Linked DNA regions of Yarrowia lipolytica. The protein of the gene in region 3 interacts with the protein of the main gene of each other region in a pairwise test. Links are inferred from orthologs where the notes say so. Each region holds a gene or a part of one and is shown on either strand. Other genes may lie near its edges.

Evidence for each region. The genes of interacting proteins can lie anywhere in the genome.
Region 1: the proteins of YALI1_D10600g (region 3) and YALI1_B20730g interact in binary tests that used the Saccharomyces cerevisiae proteins (3 or more experiments, as listed by UniProt). The link is inferred for Yarrowia lipolytica from reciprocal best matches to the Saccharomyces cerevisiae genes ACT1 and TCP1.
Region 2: the proteins of YALI1_D10600g (region 3) and YALI1_E02377g interact in binary tests that used the Saccharomyces cerevisiae proteins (3 or more experiments, as listed by UniProt). The link is inferred for Yarrowia lipolytica from reciprocal best matches to the Saccharomyces cerevisiae genes ACT1 and AIP1.

The regions. Positions count from the first base shown.
Region 1 is NC_090771.1:2,069,782-2,076,507, reverse strand, and holds YALI1_B20730g (uncharacterized protein), read right to left. Parts: upstream 3,501-6,726; coding exon 3,461-3,500; intron 3,403-3,460; coding exon 1,766-3,402; downstream 1-1,765. Other genes in the region: YALI1_B20765g (uncharacterized protein), read left to right, coding at 1-464; YALI1_B20717g (uncharacterized protein), read right to left, coding at 4,036-4,477, 4,561-4,646, 4,756-4,803; YALI1_B20709g (uncharacterized protein), read left to right, coding at 5,439-5,536, 5,581-5,758; YALI1_B20634g (uncharacterized protein), read right to left, coding at 6,497-6,726. UniProt on the Saccharomyces cerevisiae protein: Molecular chaperone; assists the folding of proteins upon ATP hydrolysis. Known to play a role, in vitro, in the folding of actin and tubulin. In yeast may play a role in mitotic spindle formation.
Region 2 is NC_090774.1:234,226-241,229, reverse strand, and holds YALI1_E02377g (uncharacterized protein), read right to left. Parts: upstream 3,512-7,004; coding exon 1,766-3,511; downstream 1-1,765. Other genes in the region: YALI1_E02413g (uncharacterized protein), read left to right, coding at 1-1,086; YALI1_E02372g (uncharacterized protein), read left to right, coding at 3,984-4,493; YALI1_E02355g (uncharacterized protein), read right to left, coding at 4,687-5,727; YALI1_E02348g (uncharacterized protein), read left to right, coding at 6,359-7,004.
Region 3 is NC_090773.1:1,056,660-1,063,551, reverse strand, and holds YALI1_D10600g (actin), read right to left. Parts: upstream 3,515-6,892; coding exon 3,508-3,514; intron 3,129-3,507; coding exon 2,008-3,128; downstream 1-2,007. Other genes in the region: YALI1_D10623g (uncharacterized protein), read right to left, coding at 1-1,218; YALI1_D10565g (uncharacterized protein), read right to left, coding at 5,535-6,892. UniProt on the Saccharomyces cerevisiae protein: Actins are highly conserved proteins that are involved in various types of cell motility and are ubiquitously expressed in all eukaryotic cells.

The sequences.
Region 1 (6,726 bases), on a different chromosome or scaffold from region 3:
TAGCGATGATACCTGCGGCAGCGACACCCACGTTAGCGATACCCCATAATGAAACATCCGATACTGAAATGTGGGATCTTGATGCTTCAGATAGCGATATTGATCCCCTTGAAGCGCCTGAACGAGCTCCCGATCAGCCCCACTATTCCGTCTCCGATGAGGTGGTGAAGCAGGTTCTCCACGACTATGTGAAACCAAGAAATCCACCAGCTCGGGTACCCCAAAAGAGGAAAAGAGAATTTGAAAACATCTCTGGCAGAAAGCATGCCCCCAGAGCCAAAGCTGATGCCCTCGGAAATATGCGTGTCCAGCTTGAAGAGAGAGTTGAAAAGGGAGAGATTACCGAGGAGGAAATGGTGCACGAACTCGGCGTCTTCTCCAGAGATCAACACTCCTCGGTCGGTCAAGGAACACGACAAACAGCTAGAGATGCGCGCCAACTGGACAGCTGGATATGCGATTAAACGAAACTCCAAAACGTACGACAACAGCCCTAAGGATTGCAGCCACATACCTGGAGCAGTTTACAATCCATGGGCTTGGCCATGTTATGAGGGTGCTTGGACATGTTATAAGGGTGCTTGGGAATGTTCTGAGGACGTTCAGTTTGACAATCAGTCTGCGAATAACAACGGAGGCGACAAAGGTCAACCGGATGAAGAGTCGAAGGAGCAGTCAAGTTTTAGGGCAAAGACCACCCACTGTGTCTCCAGAACCCGTTGCTGTAAACGCTCTCCCGTCCCCGCTCTCTGGCGTCTTTGATACCCCTTTCTAACAGCCTGGTCGCTACCTTGACCTCGTTGTCATTTCTGACGATGATTGCGGCGGTCCCGGTTGCTTCGACGTCGCTGTGGACACCATTTCACCTTCGCTGTCTCAGATGTCCCTGGTTCCGTCGGTACCCTTAGTCTTTTTGATACCCCCGGCTCCGCGTCCTGGATCCAGGATACCCCCGATAATGTGTTTTCACTGGCACAGCAGGATACCATGACTCCCTACGAGACACCCACATCACAGACTGGCTTCTTCCTGAAGCTGAATCTGCCATCAGCAGAGGCGCTCCAGAATGCCCAAAGGCTCCTGGCTGACCATGGCATGCTTGAACTAGTTGGAAGAGAGGCTGGCTCCCCCAGCGGCACCCCCACGAGGCCGGGACTGGGCGGCAGCAGAGACGGGTTATCCATGATTGGCAGCCGTCATCACTAAGTCTCCTCGTATTTTGTACTGTTTTGCTATAGATGGTTTCAATGGAATTGATGTGCTGAGCTGACTTGATGGGCCAGAAGCTTGTATTGATTGAGAAATTGAGAATTTCTCTAAGTATTTTTAAGGTTTACATACAATTTCGAGCTGTTTTGTCTGTCTTTTGCCAGCGAAAAAGGTGGATTTCGATGAATTTTGATGAATTTTGAGGGTGGAATTTAAGCTTTTATGCACGAACGGAGGAAAAATTCCTTTGTCTGAAATTGAGGTTCCCAAGCTCAATCACCGCCGCGACAGTAGCATGGGAACACAAACCATTGTTTAGTACGGCGCAACCAAGAATACAATCGCCTTTACTTCGTCGAAGTAGCACAGAAACGCCAAGATGGAACCAATTAAGCTCCATAGCAAGGAATGTTCCAGAACGCACAGACCCTCACTGAACACTCAGCTTCCCACACGTCCAAATAGATGGCCATACCACCTACAAGCACTCATAATCGTTTTATTAATCTCGTTCACATATGCGCTATGTCCATATCCAACCCTAAATTTCTATATTCTAATGATCGTGGGGGTCCTCCTTCTGTTCCTCAGGCTGCACCTTGATCATGGTGTCGATTCGCAGAATGGAAATGCACGCCTCAAGCGCACTCTTGAGAGACTTGCACTTGGAAACGGTAGGCTCGATGGTGCCAGCCTTGAGAGAGTCCACAATCTTGCCTCGGATCAGGTCCAGGCCGCAGTTTTTGTAGTTTCGTCGCTTGGTGTCTGTGAGAGCGGCAGTCTGCGACTGGGCGTGTCGTGCTCGCAGCTTGGAAACCAGGTCTGACGAGTCCTTGGCGGCGTTGACCGCCAGGGTTTTGGGGATCTGCAAAAGAGCGTTGGCGAACTCGTAGATAGCCAGCTGCTCTCGGGAGCCCAGAGAGGTGGCAAAAATCTCCAGGTAGACGTTCAGAGCAGCCTCGACAGCTCCTCCTCCGGGAACGACGTAACCGCTCTCCAAAGTTCGCTTGACGACAGACAGAACGTCGTGGATGGATCGCTCCATCTCGTCAAGCTGGTACTCGTTGGAGCCTCTCAGAATGATGGAGGAAGAGGGGTGGGCCTTGGTGCCCTTGACGAGAATGCACTCGTCGTCGGCAATTCGCTCTTGAACAACCTCTTCGGCCTGGCCAAGGTAAGAGGACTCGAAGACCTCCTCTCCCTCGAGGTTGGACATGTCAGAGATCATGGTGGCTCCAGTAGCTCGAGCGATTCGTCGCAGATCCTCCTTCTTGCATCGTCGGACGGCCATCGCACCAGCTTCCACAAACTCCTTGAGACACAGATCATCGATACCCTTGGTGGTGAGGATGACGTTTGCGCCAGCAGCCAAAATCTTTCGGATTCGCTCCAGAACGATGTCGAACTCCCGCTTTCGGATGGCCTCCAGCTGCTCGGGGTCATCGATAGTGATGTTCACGCCCATGGCCATTCGAGCCTTTTGCAGGTTCATATCCAGCACGGCAATCTTGGCGTTGGGGATTCGGGTCTTCATGGCCTGGGAAGCGACAGTGCAGTTGAGAGCGTATCCCTTGACAAGAACGGACTCCAGAGCGGACTTACCGTGGGCCTTGAGAATGTTGACAGCCTTGACGGGGTACTTAACCTCCCCACGCGAGTTTGTGGTCTTGACGGCCAGCAGGGCATCAACAGCCATGTTAGCGAAAAAGTCGGAGTCGGATCCAATGATCTTGGAGGACATCGAGGTTTTGGCAATGTTGACAAAGGTGTCCTTGCCCAGCGACTCGACGGGGACGCTCATGACCTCATTGATGAACCGCAGAGCCTCTCGCAGAGCGAGTCGGTAACCAGTGATAATCGTAGTAGGGTGGACATCCTTGACCTTGACGAGCTGGTGGGCTCGACGAAGCAGCTCACTGGCAATGATCACGACAGAGGTGGTTCCATCTCCAACCTCTCGGTCCTGCTGCTGTGCCAGCTCCACGAGAATCTGACCGGCGGGGTGTTGGACATCAAGCAAAGCCAGAATGGTGGCACCATCGTTGGTCACGGTGACATCTCCAATGTCGTCGACAAGCATCTTGTCGAGACCAACGGGACCAAGAGACGATTTGACCACGTTGGCAATGGCCTGGCAGGCCAGAACGTTCTGGCTGCCGATTTCAAGGCCTGAGATTTTCTCTCCGTTAAGGACTGGGTTAGAAGGGAACTTCGGATGCACGGGTGGCGACAGTCCAGCGCAAATACTCACACAAAGTGTCCGACGGTTGGGAATTGTACATGGTGGACATAGTTGTAAGGGTCGTAGTACAACGTCAATGTCGTGAGTGTAGATGTGTAGTTCTGGTAGGTTCTGATTAGATTTTCTGCACCAAGGTAGATATTAGGGTATTGTACGCACACCCACTATTTTTCGATGGATTTCTTAGGATAGAGTTCGGGACTCAAACATCTGCCTGAGCGATGTGCTGGCTTAATAAGGGTGGGGCGTGTCTTTTAATTGTAGAGGCGGAAGCTATCCGTACTTGTACTTATCGTGTAATGATGACCCAACAGGGGAAATAATACACCACTGCAGCACTACAAGCACGCGTCAGGTTCTACCTTTGGATATTCAATAATATATATGTCAAAAATGGGGTAACTACAGACATCAGGTGGCATCTCGAGGCTTGAAACGCATAGTGATGCTTTGTTTTGAGGTTCCCTCACGGAGGCCCTGTAGACACAATCCAAGCCCAGTTCTACTACAATAAACATATCTTGAAACATTTTTTTCTTGCTTTGATTCATTTTTCGTTGTGTTAACCCATTAGCATGCAAAAACTAGAGCACAATGCACTTTTTGTTCTTCTTGACCACTGGAGGCTCAAGAGCTGCCACGATGGCCTCGTCGAAAACGTCCTTGAGACCCTTCTGAGTAAGGGCAGAACACTCGACGTACTTGACGGCACCGAGTTCTCGGGCGAGCTGGTAGCCTTGCTCAGTGGTCATGGGTCGCAGCTTGTGTCGGGAAAGCTTGTCAAGAATCATCCTGTCACTTCGCAGATCAACCTGGGTACCAACAATGAGGCAAGGCACGCCGGGGCAGTGGTGGTGGACCTCAGGGAACCACTTCTCCTTGACGTTCTCAAAGGAGGCGGGAGAGGTGACGGAAAAGCAGACGAGGAAAACATCGGTCTGAGGGTAACAAAGAGGTCGCAGTCGGTCGTAATCCTCCTGACCGGCGGTGTCAAACAGTCCGAGTGTGTAGGGCTCGTCTCCAATCCTGGGGTTAGTATCTCGATTCGTTGCTTGGGGGGGGGGGGGGGGGGGCTTGGTTTCTTGCAGAATGCGACGCGTTATACTCACATGACAGTCACGGCATAGTTGTCAAAAACGGTGGGAACGTATTCAGAGGGGAACTTGTTTGTTGTGTATGAGATGAGGAGACAAGTCTGCGTTAGTAGGAGCTCTCCAGGGCCATTAATCCATCGTCCAGAACGACATCGTGATCGTGGCGGAGCACGAGAACCTTGATAATTGGCGTTTTGTCTTTATACTCACCTTTCCGACGGCACCATCGCCGACAACAACACATTTTATGGTCTGCATTTTATCTTTTTGAGGGTCTGTGCACGGGCTAGGGCGGGAGCTTGTTCAAGGAGCGTGGTGGGGGCGTGAGAGTGTGAGAATGTGGGTGTGTTGTGTGGGTGTGTATGTGTGGAGTGTGATATGTGAGGTGGTGAGTTGTGCTGTGCGACAGGGTTTCGGATTTGGGTGTCAAACGAGAAGGCTGCTTACAGAAGCCTATGCTTTTTTATGCACAAAGGTGTGCCACGGAGCGCTTCTGTGGTGTATCGTGAGCCAGGGGGCGCGGAATACGAGGGCTTGTGAAATCTTCTCGTCTGAGAAAGTCGTTTCTCTACCATCGAATACTCTGTATATTTCCACCGCCTATTGCCGTCTGTGACTTACGAGTGCCCCACCTCTCCCCTCCCACTGACGTTGCCAAAACTAAGTCCCCTAATCGAATCGTCCCAGGGGAGCTGGAAACTGTACTTCAAGGGCATAAAGGACATAATAGGCCAACAGGGGAAAACTGTCGCGTGGGGCAACTGGACCGGATATTATTACTATTCAAACACGCACACATTCCGTTTACATTCCGCAAACTGACGCCGTCCTCTATACTACGTGCTACGTAGCAGTCAGCGTCAAAACATCTATGCCACACAACCCATTCGCTCATGCATAGGCCACATCACTCACTGATAAGCCCAAGGCCAATGAGGCACATTTCTTGTGTCGGGTTAGTGCGCGGGTCGGTGCAGTACTTACAGGTACAGTAGCGTACAATGTTTATTAAACACCCCCTATGAACAGCCCAAGTTCCACCATACACTACGTTATCACGGTACTACCACCCTCTTGTATGGCCCACTATCTTTCCCGAACTCCCCTCACGCCACATCACTCCACAGACACGATCCCTTGTCAGCACGCGTACCAGTCTACTGTAAGTACAGTACCTACGATGAACTTCGTAAACTCTGACCAGCACTCATAATCTTGAATCAAACATAAAATTCTACGGTAGGGGGTTAGTTAATTATACAACCAGCCGCTGTTACAGCTATCGTACGCAGCCGCTAGCAACGATGAAACAGCAATAATTATACCCTATTCCCCCATAGATGTGCACGCCCAATACGGCCAAGACCAAAGCATCATGAGTAGCGTGGAAGTTCTCTTTCTCCTTGCAATTTGAACCAGAGCCACTAAACTGTTTATACCTCTAACATGCATTGTGGACGTACTGTAAATACTGTTAAACTACTCCACGGATCTTTAAAGACACACTACAGGTACAGTACTTGTAGTGGGTGTACAGTACATACTGGATTATTGCCGTCGCAACGACAGCACAGCTGCACAATCCAGGTGGGTTAATTACTTATTGTACAATGTGCACGTCAAGCAACTATGAGATGGAATCTTAGGGATCGTACTATTGTACTTGTAGCACAGTTATGTTGTAAGTCGCTTATACTTGGCTTCTGTCGTAAGTCCTACCCTCGAATGTCTCAGTAAGCACTCCCACCAATGTTTACCACTTTCGCGTTGCACCTTCACGTCTCTACTGCTACAGTTGCGTGGTCGGCTTGATACTCACGCGCTCAATACACATTCATTTTACACCAGCTATACATTCTACTACTTGTATCATATAAATAATAAATCAATTAATGTTCTATCAGTTTATTCCAATTCTCATCCTCCTCTCACACTCCCCTCACTATCCTCCTCACTTCTCAATCTTTTTAGTATCCCGCTCCGCTACCTGCACAGACATGAGAACAGCTGCCAGGTCTGCCGGTAGAATGGGTTTGGCCAGATAGCTGACCATACCAGCATCCAGGCATTTTCTTCGATCTTCTCCTCCAGCGTTGGCCGTCAACGCAATAACATTAGGGCAGTCATCCTTATACAGCTCTTTGAGCTCCTGGGAAGCAGCAATACCATCCTTGTTGGGCA
Region 2 (7,004 bases), on a different chromosome or scaffold from region 3:
GCATTCCTGCAATATACGGAACCAAAAGAGGACTTAACGCCGAAGAACAATCCCCTGCTTGAAGAGGTGGACGAGCCTGTCAGTGCCAAGCCTCTTGTTCGCGCCACTGACACGCGGCGAACTAAAGCCGCTCTTATCTCTCTTGTTCGAAACAAAGAGCTGGACGGTATTGTGGATGCCATGGTGCAGGTCGAGGACACATTCAATCACAAATTCGGCTACCCTTGGATCTTTTTCAATGATGAAGAGTTCACCGACGAGTTCAAGGAAAAGGTGCGCGAACAGACTGACTCTGAAGTCAAGTTTGAGCTGATTGAAAAGAAGGACTGGGACGCCCCCAGATGGATCGACAAGGACAAGGCCAAGAAGGCCGGCAAGAAGCTGGAAGATGCTGGTGTACGATATGGTGCCATGGACTCCTACCACAAGATGTGCAGATGGAACTCGGGTATGTTCTACAAGCACAAGGCCATGGACGATTATGACTGGTACTGGCGCGTTGAACCCGACACCCAATACTATTGTGACATCGACTACGATGTATTTGCATACATGGAGGACAATGACAAGGTGTATGGCTTCACCATTGCATTGTTTGACAACCCCAAAACCGTTGCCACCCTATGGCCGGAAACTAAATCCTTCTTGATGAAGAACAAGGAGTATCTGCACAAAGACAATGCCATGCAATTCTTGCTGAACCCCAGCAGACCAGACTGGAACGCCCAGGCTGGCGGATACTCCACTTGCCATTTCTGGTCCAACTTTGAAATCGCGTCTCTGAAGTTCTTCAGGGGCGATGCATACGCCCAATGGTTTGAGCATCTGGATAAACAGGGAGGGTTCTTTTACGAGAGATGGGGAGATGCTCCCGTGCACTCTGTCGGCGCAGGACTATTTGCTAACCAGTCACAAATCCATTGGTTCAAGGACATTGGATATTACCACTTCCCCTATTTCAATTGCCCCAAGTCCAAAAAGTGTCATGGATGCAAGCCTGGTCGATTCACCACAGACGATCTCAAGGATTCTCTGATGCCTGAAAACTGTCTTCCTCAGTACCTCAAATACATGGGCGACCGATAACAACATACATACATACATACAAATCGATTTATTCAGTATTTTAAGCTTAGCACCAGAAGACTGTTGGTCGTCAGCGCTCTCGTGCTGTTTTACTATGATGGTCGCCTGTTAGGAAACGATCTTCTTTTGGTGTTTCTTGTGCCTGTGGCATAAGGACCGTCGACAGTCGTCGGTGCTTGATTATCTGTCAACTCTCTATTGGGGATCCTTGTAGTCACCCTTCCGGTCAAAGACCCACTACCGTAGGGGTCGATCGAGTCCCCCAGGACTCGACCGCCGAGTTACAGATCCGTCAGTTGGTCCGGTGCCATTATTATATATAGCTCTCATTTCCCATATATTTAGGATATCGATTATTGACCCTTTCAACACGAGTATTTGCTCAACGACTTGCCATAGGCAAGTCGCCGGCATTACCTGTCAAACCACAAACCAACCGAAGTCCGGGCCTGTGTCCTAACAAATACATAGAATACAAGGCTACAGTACATACAGTATGTACTTGTATTTATAGTTTAATTACAGTAGAAACCTGCATAGTCATGAGCTACAAGTAGACGCGCTAATCGTTTATACTTAGACATGCATGGCTTAGTCTTCGAGACAAGCATATATAATAATAGTGTGTTGCATTGATTCATGAATTTCGTCTACTTGTACTTGTACAGTGTTATGTCCTTTAGCTAAGCTCAACAGACCACCACTTGAGAACAGCATCAGCACCACCAGTGACGATTTCGTTGTTTGCCAGCCATCGCACTGCGGTGGCTCCCTCCTTGTGAGCGTTCAGAGACTTGAGGTTCTTCATGGGGGTCTTGACGGAGTAAATGTAAATGTTTGTGTCCAGAGAAACAGAGGCAATGTACTCGTTTCCAAGCCAGTCAATATCGTTGATCTGAGCGGTGTGGAAGGTCCATCGAGAGGTGACAACAGACTTAGTTGAAAGGTCGTATAGGATAATCTTACCAGTGGACTCGCCAGCAGCAAGAAGGTTACCATTTTCACTAAGAGCAAGCTTTGTGGCAGCAGCACGAAGAGGAGGGAGATCAAACTGTTTCTCACCGGTTGTAGAGTAGACAGAGAGCTCTCCCGACTTAGATCCCACAACAACCTGGTCAGCAATAGCAACAGCAGAGCCCCGATCAATAGAAACCTTCTTGACAAGCTTACCGCTATCAAGGATGTGCAGAGTGTTCTCAGTCACGATGGCAGAGAGAGAACCTCGAGAATCGGCAGCCTTGGGCTGGGTGCCGATCGAGTAGACTGTGTTGTTGAGCTTGTAAGTATCATCCCAAGCAACTGATGCCAGGCTTCCATCACAGTCACTGAGAGAGACAATGTAAGTAGAGTGGGAGGCGTCAGAAGGAGAGGCCTTGTCACCGGTCCACTCGAGAATGGATCCGTCAACAGAGCCAGAGTATATCTTGCCCTTGAGAGTCTCGACAGCAGAAATGGGCTGCTGGTGGGCAATGACCTTGGACTCAGTCAAAGACAGCTTGGACAGGGCATCTATGCTCACAGAGGAGAAGGACAGGGTGCCGTCCAGTCCAACTGACACAAGGGAATCGCCAGCCCAGACTACACCGACCTGGAACTGGTCAAACTTGAATGTGTCAATCTCTTTACCCTCGACATCAAAGACCTTGACAGTGTTGTCTGCAGAGGCGGTAGCGAAGTGGGTGGAATCCTGGGCCCAGGAGACGGAGTAAATGGAGCCGCCATGTGCGTCAATAGTCTTGACGGGCTCACCATCCTGGTTATAAAGAACGGCCTTTCTGTCAGCTCCAACCGAAACAAGCCACTTTCCATCAGGGGAAAAAGCAACGTCGTGGATGTAGTTGCTGTGCTGCTGCTTAACGGTGTGGTCGAACTTGAAGGGAGGACCCTTGTAGAAGACGAGAGTGGCATCATCGCCGACGGTAGCAGCTCGGTAGGGTCTAACGGGTTTGATGGCGACAGCATTGACCTGAGCTCCGTGACCAGAGATCTCTCCGACAGTGTTACCAGTGTCGAAAGTGAAGCAATGACCGTATCTCTCTGTGCCGTCGCCCACAGCAATGATTCGCTGAGAGTCAGCATCCCAGTTGAGATCGTTGATTCGACCATTGCCGATCTTGGCTTCGTACTTGATGTTGAAAGAGACAGGGTCCCAGACCTTGACGTTGCCAGCCTGATCGCCGGAGCAGACATAGAAGCCTGAAGGAGAGAACTTGGCGACGGTGGTTGGCGCAATGTGGCCATTGAACTGCCGAGCCTCGTTGGGCTTGTCGAGATTCACCAGAAGCACTGCCTTGGTGTTGGCGTAAGCCACCTCGTTGGTCTTGGGGTTGTAGGAGAGATGCACGGCAACTCCCTTGGTGGTGGCCGGAGAAGCCACGGAGGTTTTAACTGGCGTTAGTGGGCTTCTTACGGGGATCTCTGGCATACTCACCTGGAGAAATCATTATACAATTGGTGCTGAGGTGTTTAGATGGATGCTGTTTATGTATCCAACTGGGAGATGTATGCAGCACCGAAGATAGAGTTATTAATAGGAGAGTGAAGGAGTGGTGGCAGGATGATTGTACATTACGTACTTGTACAAGTAGAATGATACCTGTCAATAGTTGAGGCAAATTTTGAAATTTGTGCTGCTTAATAAATCAACTGGAATGTTTCATAAACAATCGCTGTCTGTAGAACCCCTTCTTTCACAATACAGCACATATATCCCACGTACCAACCACCGTCTTACTTGTGGTAAGACCTCCGAAGTTTATCTTCCACCATCTGCAGGAAAATCCTACGAGTACCAGTATCTGGAATCCACACAGCTGAGTATCAAATTCCAGACTATCCTATACCCGAACTCTTCAAAAGCATTACGTTAGTCAGATCGTGTGATTCACTGCCACAACATGAAGTTTCCCCAGTTCGACCAGGAGATTGCCATCTCCTACTTTTCAGACGTCAAGAATGCCGGCCAGATTCGAAACGAGCTGTTAAGCGGTAACCCCGACTACCAGGTGGCTTTCATTAATGCCAACACATTGCTTTCGTCCAAGCATCTGCTCGCAGCCGTCTACAGAGCCGTTTCCGATCAGGAAGCCGGCTCCATGAAGACAAAAAACGTACACTCAGAGGTGCTGTTCTGTCTGGGAGGGAATAACAACATCATGGACTCTCTAAGGAGATTTGGAATTCAGGACGATACCACAAACATTGTGGCTGTCAAGATTGGCGGAGGAGAGTACACGAAGCTGGTTGAGGGAACCGAAGAGCCCTTTACTGACGAGCAGATTGCCAAGAACACAGATATCAAGCTCGTCAAGAAGGTATACAAGTTACCAGGAACAGTCTCTCTAGATGATAGAGCTCAGGTGGAGACTGCAGCCATTGGAGCTCTTCTGCTACGTGGATTCAGCTAGATGGAGCCGCGGACGGTCGTATTTATGAAAACAAACTTGGGCAACCATAACAAATGCATTGTATAAACACCATTCTATTAGCTGATTACTGTACAGGTACCGTGGCTATAAGTACAATTACCTGCTACAAGTAGTATACACAAGTCATAAATACTTCATTGTTGTTCAAATATAATGCATATAAATACTGTTGTTATACCGTGGATTCCACCTTGACCTGTATCGATGGCTCTTCCAGCTTGACCGGGTCTTCTTCTGTCTTGACAGGTACTGCTGTGCCGTTGCTGTTGCCATTCTCTTCAGCCAACAGCTCGGTCTGAACATCCACACCTAGACCAAAAAAGGCCTGTTGGAGAATTCTTGCGTATGCTGCCTTGAGAGTGAAACCTCCGGCCTGATGCTGAATGTCATGGGCCAGAGGCTCGATGACCTTGTCGTCGTAATGGTCCTGTACCTCAAACAGCGCGGGAATCTGCCTGTCACCGTTGAAGGGTGTGAAGGGCGTCTCGGGCTTCGAGCTTTCCTTCTTGACCTTCTCAAAGTACCGAGATGTAGGCATGGGTTGGAAGTTGACTGTTCGAGCTGAGGATCGTTTGAGAGCTGTCTTCTGGACATTCTGCTCGATGGAAGAGGCATCCTTGTTGGAAGTGGCGAGCTGATGAACCAGTTCTCGCTTGGCAGCCTCCTTATCCTCCTGAGCTGCCCTTTGTTCCTCCACAGCCATGAGGTAGTTTGCCTTTCTCTGTTCCTTCATCCAGTCCTCCTTCTGCTGCTCATACTTGTCCTCCTCGTCTCGGAGCTTGTTGTTGGCAATGATCTCGGCCTTATGTTCCTTTTCGTATGCTTCTATCTCCTTGGTCAATGCGTCCTTTTCGTCAGCGGTTCCATTCAACAGCGTGAAGATGCTGTCTTCAATCTTTTCCAGATATGCGTTGTAGTCGTTCAGCGTGTCGAACTCGTCTTCTCGTTTGTTCATGACCGACATGACCCGTTGGCGTACATCGACCTCCTTCTCGACAGCCACATCCTCGAAGATCTGGGTCTTGAACTTGTTCTTTCGCAAAATCTTTTCGCAGCCATTGTGAGGGCATGTCACTGGGCCGTAGGCAAAAAGTCGATCCACACACGATTCGCACATTTTGTGGTAACATTGAGGATTGACTAGAAATTTCATATCCGGGTTGAGGTACCGCGAGGATTTGCAGATCGGGCATATATCCCCATCTTCACTCATATTGATAGCTGTTGTGGTGGAGGTGTGATGATGATATCGTGCCAAGTTGACCGTCTAATAAGCTCCAAAGAGCACCTGGATGAGCTGCAAGCAAACCCAACTTGATTTGGGAGTTTAGCCTGACAACCGCTGAGCTCTAAACCAGATGCATAAACGCTGAGAACATGCAGCTTGAAGATGGAATGTGTTATAGGTACGTACAGTACGACAGTGTGTACTGTATCTACTCGTATGATGATTAGTTTGAAAAATCACTCATGCGATATTGTGTGTCATTCTGGTAAAATCTTTTTGGCTAAAACGCCTCATTACCACGTCTCAACCGTAAGTCTTTCAAAATAAGACTCAGCGATCTCTAAGTAGCTATAGGGGTAGCTCATGGAAGTCTCTCTACAAAGGTGAATTGCCACTCAGTCTGTAATCTCCTTGGAGTTGTCCAGATTCTTCCAAAAAGGCTTGCCGGTGGGTTCTCAGAATCTGACTTGGTAAAACCCCGCTCACATCACTCATACCCCGCAAGTACGACCTTCCTAAGGTGCGGTTGCTCCCGTGTTCAGTTGGCAATAGAGTTGTTTACACCAGGAACCTTGTCTACATTCTCATCATCTTATCCAGCACACTTGACCATGAAATGAACAGAGCAGCGTTCAGACAGGCACTGCGAATCGTTTTCCCAGGCGTAATTCTCGGACTCCTGGGATATGGCACCTACGCATATTGCTACATTCTCTGCTGGAACCTCTACCACCACATGGGCTACCGGGCAGGGCTGGCTCTCCTGATTGTCTATTGCATTCTCAAGACACTGGTTTTCATCTACTGGGCCGCCGTCGTCATTGTTGGCCCTGGAAAGGTGACTGGAGTGTCACCTTTGCAAATTTTCATTCCAGGATCAGAAGTGGTGGACGAAAAGGCTCAGGCTATAGTATCAAGGCAGATCAACCCCAAGCTGCCAGATACTTACATCTGCGATGGTTGGGGAATGCCCAAATGGTGCTCAGAATGCCAGACACACAAACCGGACCGAACACACCACTCGGCTATTGTGGGACACTGTGTCCCCAAGATGGACCACATGTGTTTCTGGGTGGGCACAGTGATCGGACAACACAACTACAAGATCTTCCTACAGTACACGACCTTGTTCTCGACATACTTGATCTACACATTGGTGACGACAGCTGTTTTCACCCCTAGAATGGGCCAATACAGACGCGACAGGGGCGCGCCTGACTCTATTCCTAACGGAAACATCATAGCTCTTCTGATTCTCACAG
Region 3 (6,892 bases):
TCCTCCTCCTCCATGTCGAGAGAAGATGGAAAGAGCAGCCTTGAGAAGGGGCACGCTGTAAAGAGAGACGGCACGCTCGTAGTCGTGGACTGTGAGTGGTGGGAGCATTCGAAGAGGTGTTCCACACTCAGACCACTGGATGTCTCCATTTCTGTTTACTGTAGCCTTCTTGACAACGTGGGACACACCAGACATCCACACGGTGGAGACCTCGAACTGACCCTCGTTTTGACGGAACGCCATGTCCTTTAGCGACCATAGTCCAATGTCTGGGATCTTGGACGAGAAGACCTGGACGAAGTTTTGATCCCAGAAGTAGATGGTTTCTCCACAAAAGGTGATGAAGAACTCGCCCGACGCACACACTCGAGTGACAGGCTCAGTGTCGAGTTTGCTCTTGTCGCTGTCAAACTTGATTTCTGTGCCGGTGAGAGTATTCAGATCCCACTTTTTGAGAGTCTGGTTGACAGACACGGTCAACAGGTGGTTCTCAAAGTTTGTCATAGAGATAATAGCGTGGATGCTGAGATGCGGCATGGACGCAATCTTGTCCTTGCTGAAGAACCGGTCCTTGAGGCTCGTGAGATACGAGGGGTCGGAAAATAACGATGTCAGAAACAGGCCGTTCTTCTCTTGTCGTTCCAATTTCATGAGTCCTCCGTCGCATAAAGATAGCACAAGTTCGTTGGACTGGCCCTTGAGCGACTTGAGAAGAAGCGGCTTTCGGCTTCGAATGCCGTAGTCCTCCTGCTGCTGAAAGAACCGTGAGGTGTCGTAATGCTCGGTGTTGTCCTCATTGAACAGAGCAAATGGCAGCTTCACGCTGTACAGCAGAAAGCTGTTTGAAATGGAATCAATGTAAAGAACCCCATCCTTTTCAGTCACACACGTGCAATGGTTCTGTAGTCCCTCGGGAAAATAGATACGCACACTCTTGCGATCGTGATTCACTCCAGTCACCTCCATGATGTGCGACTCGTCGAAGAAGCGCACAGAAAACTCGCCATTGGTCGAGCTCTGGAACATCTGCCCTTCCTTGGACACGTAGCGTCGCAGAAACACCTCCTCGGCATCGTCAGATTCCAGTTTTCGCTTTCTTTCGTCCACCACCTTTTTCGTGATCAATTTCGAGCCATCAATCTCCACGTTGGGAAACAAGTATTCCACTTGTTGATGGGTGCCGCCGACGGGCTCCTCTCGAAACGTTTTCGCCACCATGTCGTTTGGTAGTTGTGCGGATGGAAGAGATTTCGAAGCACGTTGTTTGATACTCCAATATTTTGACTACTTGTATTTTTGTTTGCATGCATACTCCGAACTTAACTTGTCGAAAACATGGCGACAGGCACCGCAAGATACAGCATGTACATCCTTCTACTTGTAGCTCGGTGAAGATGAATATGTAAATACTAAATATGGATATATAGATAGGAGGGATGTATATACTCATCATTGAGCAGTTATTAAGTCATTACCTGCTATATCGCCGCATATCCCAGGTTACCACCCAGAGTTGTCATCATCTTAACCCTGCTTTCCCTAAACTGTAGGTGCTGAGATATCAGCCTCAACTGAACACAACTGAATGCGTCTGCTTGAATCAGCCTCTGAAAGACGACTGCGCATTTAAAAACAATAGAACTACTGCACGTCGCACCTCAGAAGGTAACACTCTCTTCGTGGTCACTAAGCATACTGCCCAAGTGTTGTTGTCCCAAAGTATGCCACACCCACACACACCTCTGGGCACAGCTGACTTCCAGGATATTATTACTTCTGTTCATACCATCTCCGTTCATGAAGTGTTACAAAACAGTTACTTATACGAGTAATAGGAGCTCATGCAATAAAACACGACTACACCCTTCAATGAATGGAGTACACAGCTATGACACTGGGGTTACACTTCTCAAACTACACTCACCTTGACTTCGATTCATACAATCGTTCTTTAAATTACATACAGCAGAAAACGAGCAAAGGCTTGCACAACAGCAATCACCACACTTAGTAACACTTTCGGTGGACAATGGTGGGTCCGGCCTCGTCGTACTCCTGCTTGGAGATCCACATCTGCTGGAAAGTACCAAGAGAAGCAAGAATGGAACCACCAATCCAGACGGAGTACTTTCGCTCGAGGGGAGCGGTGATCTTGACCTTGATGGAGGTGGGGGCAAGAGCGGAGATCTCCTTGTGCATTCGCTCGGCAATACCGGGGTACATGGTGGTACCTCCGGACATGACAATGTTTCCGTAGAGATCCTTTCGGACATCAACATCACACTTCATGATAGAGTTGAAAGTAGTCTCGTGGATACCAGCAGCCTCAAGACCCAGCATGGAGGGGTGGAAGAGGGCCTCGGGAGCTCGGAATCGCTCGTTACCGATGGTGATGACTCGGCCATCGGGAAGCTCGTAGGACTTCTCGAGAGAAGAGGACTGGGAGGCAGTCTGGAGCTCCTGCTCAAAGTCGAGAGCAACGTAACAGAGCTTCTCCTTGATGTCTCGGACGATTTCTCGCTCGGCGGAGTTGGTGAAAGAGTAACCTCGCTCGGAGAGAATCTTCATGAGGTAGTCGGTAAGATCTCGGCCAGCCATATCGAGTCGCATGATGGCGTGGGGGAGAGAGAAACCAGAGTAGATGGGCACAACGTGGGTGACACCATCACCAGAGTCAAGAACGATACCGGTGACTCGACCAGAGGCGTACAGGGAGAGGACGGCCTGGATAGAGACGTAGAAAGCGGGAGCGTTGAAAGTCTCGAAGAAGATCTGGGTCATCTTCTCTCGGTTGGACTTGGGGTTGATGGGGGCCTCGGTGAGCAGGACGGGGTGCTCCTCAGGAGCAACTCGGAGCTCGTTGTAGAAGGTGTGGTGCCAGATCTTCTCCATGTCATCCCAGTTGGTAACAATACCGTGCTCGATGGGGTATCGGAGGGTCAGGATACCTCGCTTGGACTGGGCCTCATCACCAACATAGGAGTCCTTCTGGCCCATGCCGACCATGACACCCTGATGTCGGGGTCGACCGACGATGGAGGGGAAAACAGCTCGGGGAGCGTCATCACCGGCGAAACCGGCCTTGCACATACCGGATCCGTTATCGATAACGAGGGCAACAGTTTCGTCTAGGTTAGTATGGTGTGGTTATTTGATGGATTGATTGATTGCTGATGGATTGCGCTTTTCCGGGGGCTGGTTGGGTCATGCGCGGCAGCATGCGACATTATCAGTGTGGTGACACGTCATCGCAAAGCGCGAAGGTGCCCAACGGCAAGACGGACGCTCTGGGCTCGCAAGCGCTCTCGCAGCTCCATCCGTTCGATGATGGATTGATTCGCTTGCTGGCCCGTGGCTTTGGTCGCCATGTTGGTGGTGATGACTTGTCGCTGGGGAGAAAGCGCCATTTGTGGTTTTGTGTCCAATCCAGGGACCGACTCGCCATCAATCCAGACAATCGATGATGGCAAAGCCCGCTGTGCCATCGATGGCATTGGTAGTACTCACCTTCCATTTTTAATTTGTGTGGTTGTTGGTAGCAAAGAGATTTGTCGATGAAATACCGATGGAGGAGAGGAGAAAAGTAGGAGTTGGCAAACACAAAATTGGGGTGCGCTGGCTCGTCTGGGTTAGGGTTAGTTATGTCGCACTGTCCAGCACACCACACAGCACTCACGGTTGGGAAGTAACGGAGACAAGGCCACATCTCAAAGGTAAAAAAGCACTGCCGAGGAATAGGGGAAGGTGGCTGGTGGAGGGGGTATTAGGACTGGTAAATGAGCCGCTTAACCACTGGTATTTGGTATTCTAGAGGAATTGAAATCGATCCGAAAGTTACAGAGCTCTAGCCCGTCTGGATTGCCCTCTAACAGCACCGTCTTCTCCTGTCTTTGCCAAGCACACTCCCTTCCAATATACTGTTATGTACGAAACTGTGTGTGTGTGTGTGTGTGTGTGTGTGTATTGGCATATACGATTTGACTGACAAAAAAAAGCCTACCTCTATCTCCCCCAAGCTTTTTGGGGTCCTCTCGGTGCTAACCACTGTACCGGAGATTATGTCAATGTTGCGGTATATTTTGAAAGTGGTGGGTTGGTGTGCGGTGAGGGAGAGAGTGGGAGGGGTGAAAGGCGTGGATGGGGTAATTATAGCCTCGGTAATATCTCCGATATCCGACTCTCATCTGCCCTCCTCTAATGGCACCTCCTGAATAATATCGGACCCCGGTAGGCGTATTTTTGCTTACTCGCTGCTTGGTGCGAATCTAAAAATACCGCACTGTGGTTGACCCCTAATTTTTAGTGCAGAGCCATATATGCGACCTAGTGCGGCTTAGCATCCATGTGAGCAGGCGGTGCAGGAGAGATTGACAGCGGGGAGCTATTTGTGGGACAGTGAGTGGCTCCGACTACAAGTATTCTTTGTGCCTCTTTTGCCAGCACAAGTAAATGCCAGCACATTGTGGAATATTGCCGGTTCGCTTCCCCCCCATCTACCAAACAAGGTTGGTCAATGTTTGGGATCGGGTAAAACCCTGGCCCTTGACATGTGATTCGCGCGTTATGGAAAGCAAGCGACGGAGATAAGTTGAGAGAGAACGCTGCGCAAACATCTGGAAAGAGCTCATTCCCCGCCTCTCTGGGCACAGCTCTGTCTGAATAGCCCAAACTCAAGGTTATCGCGGGTGGCTTGTGTCTGTTTACCTCGTGGACGTCCCAAAGTGCTCGTCCCAAAATGCCGCCCCTTTACACCTTATTCGTATCTCGGCGATGCTTAACTCCGGTGAAATTGCCTGCCGCAACCCACATAATCTCTCAGAGCTATATTTGGTCCATGTTCCGGTACGAGTACGAGCAGAAACGGGGTTGTCAGGCCGTGCCCCGCAGTGTACAGCAACCCACATGCAGTACGTGGCGATATCAACTGCACTCTGCACATACTCGTACATTGTATCGTGCCGTAGCGCAACTATCTATCAAGTACACGTACAGTAGCACCAAACCCCGTCTTGTACTTTCCAACGGTTGGACCAAAAAGCGCCCAGTGCCCTCCACTTGTCCATGTCAGACACATTCCGAAACGTCGATATGGTAAGAAGAAGTTTCCTGTATGGTCGCATCCTATACAGTATGTACGTGCTTCCCTCACCGTAAACATCGTGAGTAAACACTTGGAGCCTGTGCACTGTGATAACGATATAAGCACTCAATTGGGCGAAGATATGGAAATGCGCGTGTCAATTGCCACCTAATTACCGGTATATACAAGTATTACAGGGCAATCTCTTTCTATATCTGGGTAAAGCGCTCCTCATGTCTTGCATAACAGCTCTTAACCGGCAGACATACAAGTACCAGTAAATAAACGCCCGCACCTCACATACTCTACAGCTGTACTTTTACGCCATACATACCGTACAATTCATCATACCATTACCTTGAGGGGCACTCATTACCTCCCAGTGACCACATCTCCACTACTTTTTTTTTATCTGCTATAATTATATCTGTTATACATGCTACTATCTAACCCCTTAATGCACAACATCGTCCCAGGTTCGACCCTTGACGCCACTGAGCTCCTCCTCAGACATGACGGCGCCGGTGGTGAAATAGCCAGCCGCAATCTTGGCATCGATCTCGACTCGAGAGTCCGGAGGAATCATCTCGTCGGGAATGGGCACACGCTCGTGGATGGGGATACCCTGCTCCACAATGGCGTCGTGCTTCATGTTGGACATGGACAGCATTCGGTCAATCTTCTGGATACCCAGGAAATGCAAAATGTCGGGCATCAGTGCCTGGAATCGCATATCCTTAACTCCGGCAATGTTCTCCGTTCGCTTAAAGTACGTGGCAGCTGAGTCGCCTCCTCGCTTTCGCGCATTATACACTAGGTACTTCGTCACCTCGCCCAGAGCTCGTCCCTCCTTTCGGAAGTAGATGACCACTCCCGAGCCACCCTTCTGGGCCTCCTTGACTGCTTCGGAAATACCAAAGGTCAAGTAGGGTCGGCAAGTGCAGATATCGGAGCCAAACACGTCGGATCCGTTACACTCATCATGGACTCGGAGAGCCAACTTCTTGGAGGGGTCCGAAACTCGGTCTGGGTCGCCGAAAATGTACACCGTCAGGCCTCCGATGGGAGGTAGGAAGACCTTGATGTCTGGTCGGGTAACCAGCTCGGGGTACATTCCTCCAGTGTCCTCGAACAGGGCACGTCGAAGCTCCCCCTCCGTGATTCCGAATCGCTCGGCGACTCCGGGCAGATACCACACGGGCTCCACGGCCACCTTGGTGACCGCGAGATCTCCGCTCTTATTGAGCACAATTTCGCCATCAACCTCCATGGTTCCGTCTCTGACCTCGTCTCTGATTTCGGCTAGTTGCATCTGCGCACGAGTAACAGCGATGGTGGGCTTGACTACAACTCCTTCCGCGATCGTCTCATGAAAGAGCCAGGGAGCTAGATGACCATAAGGGTCCATAGCCACAATCTTCTTGGGGTCGGACCATTGGGGGTGGGGTCCAAAGGTGTGCAGAGGATAGGCGTTGGTATAGTCTGCTCTGTGTGTAACGGGCAGGTCGTTGGTGGCAACAGCCAGTGCGTGGTAGATACCATACGATCCGTGGTGGGCTCCGATGGCATTTCGCTGCTTGAACGACGATTGATCACGGGCCACAACAATGGGACCTCGCACCTTGGGGTCCTCTGCGCCCCATCTTAGAGGAATGGGCTTGACGCCACTCTGTCCGGGGTAGGTGGTGAGAATGACTCGTCCCTCGTATTTGGGGGGCGACAGAGGCGTGACAAAGGGCTTGTCTGTCTCCATTTCTGTGTCCTCGTCGTCTGCTGGCAACATGGGTGGGGTGAGGGTCTTTGTAGTCTGGG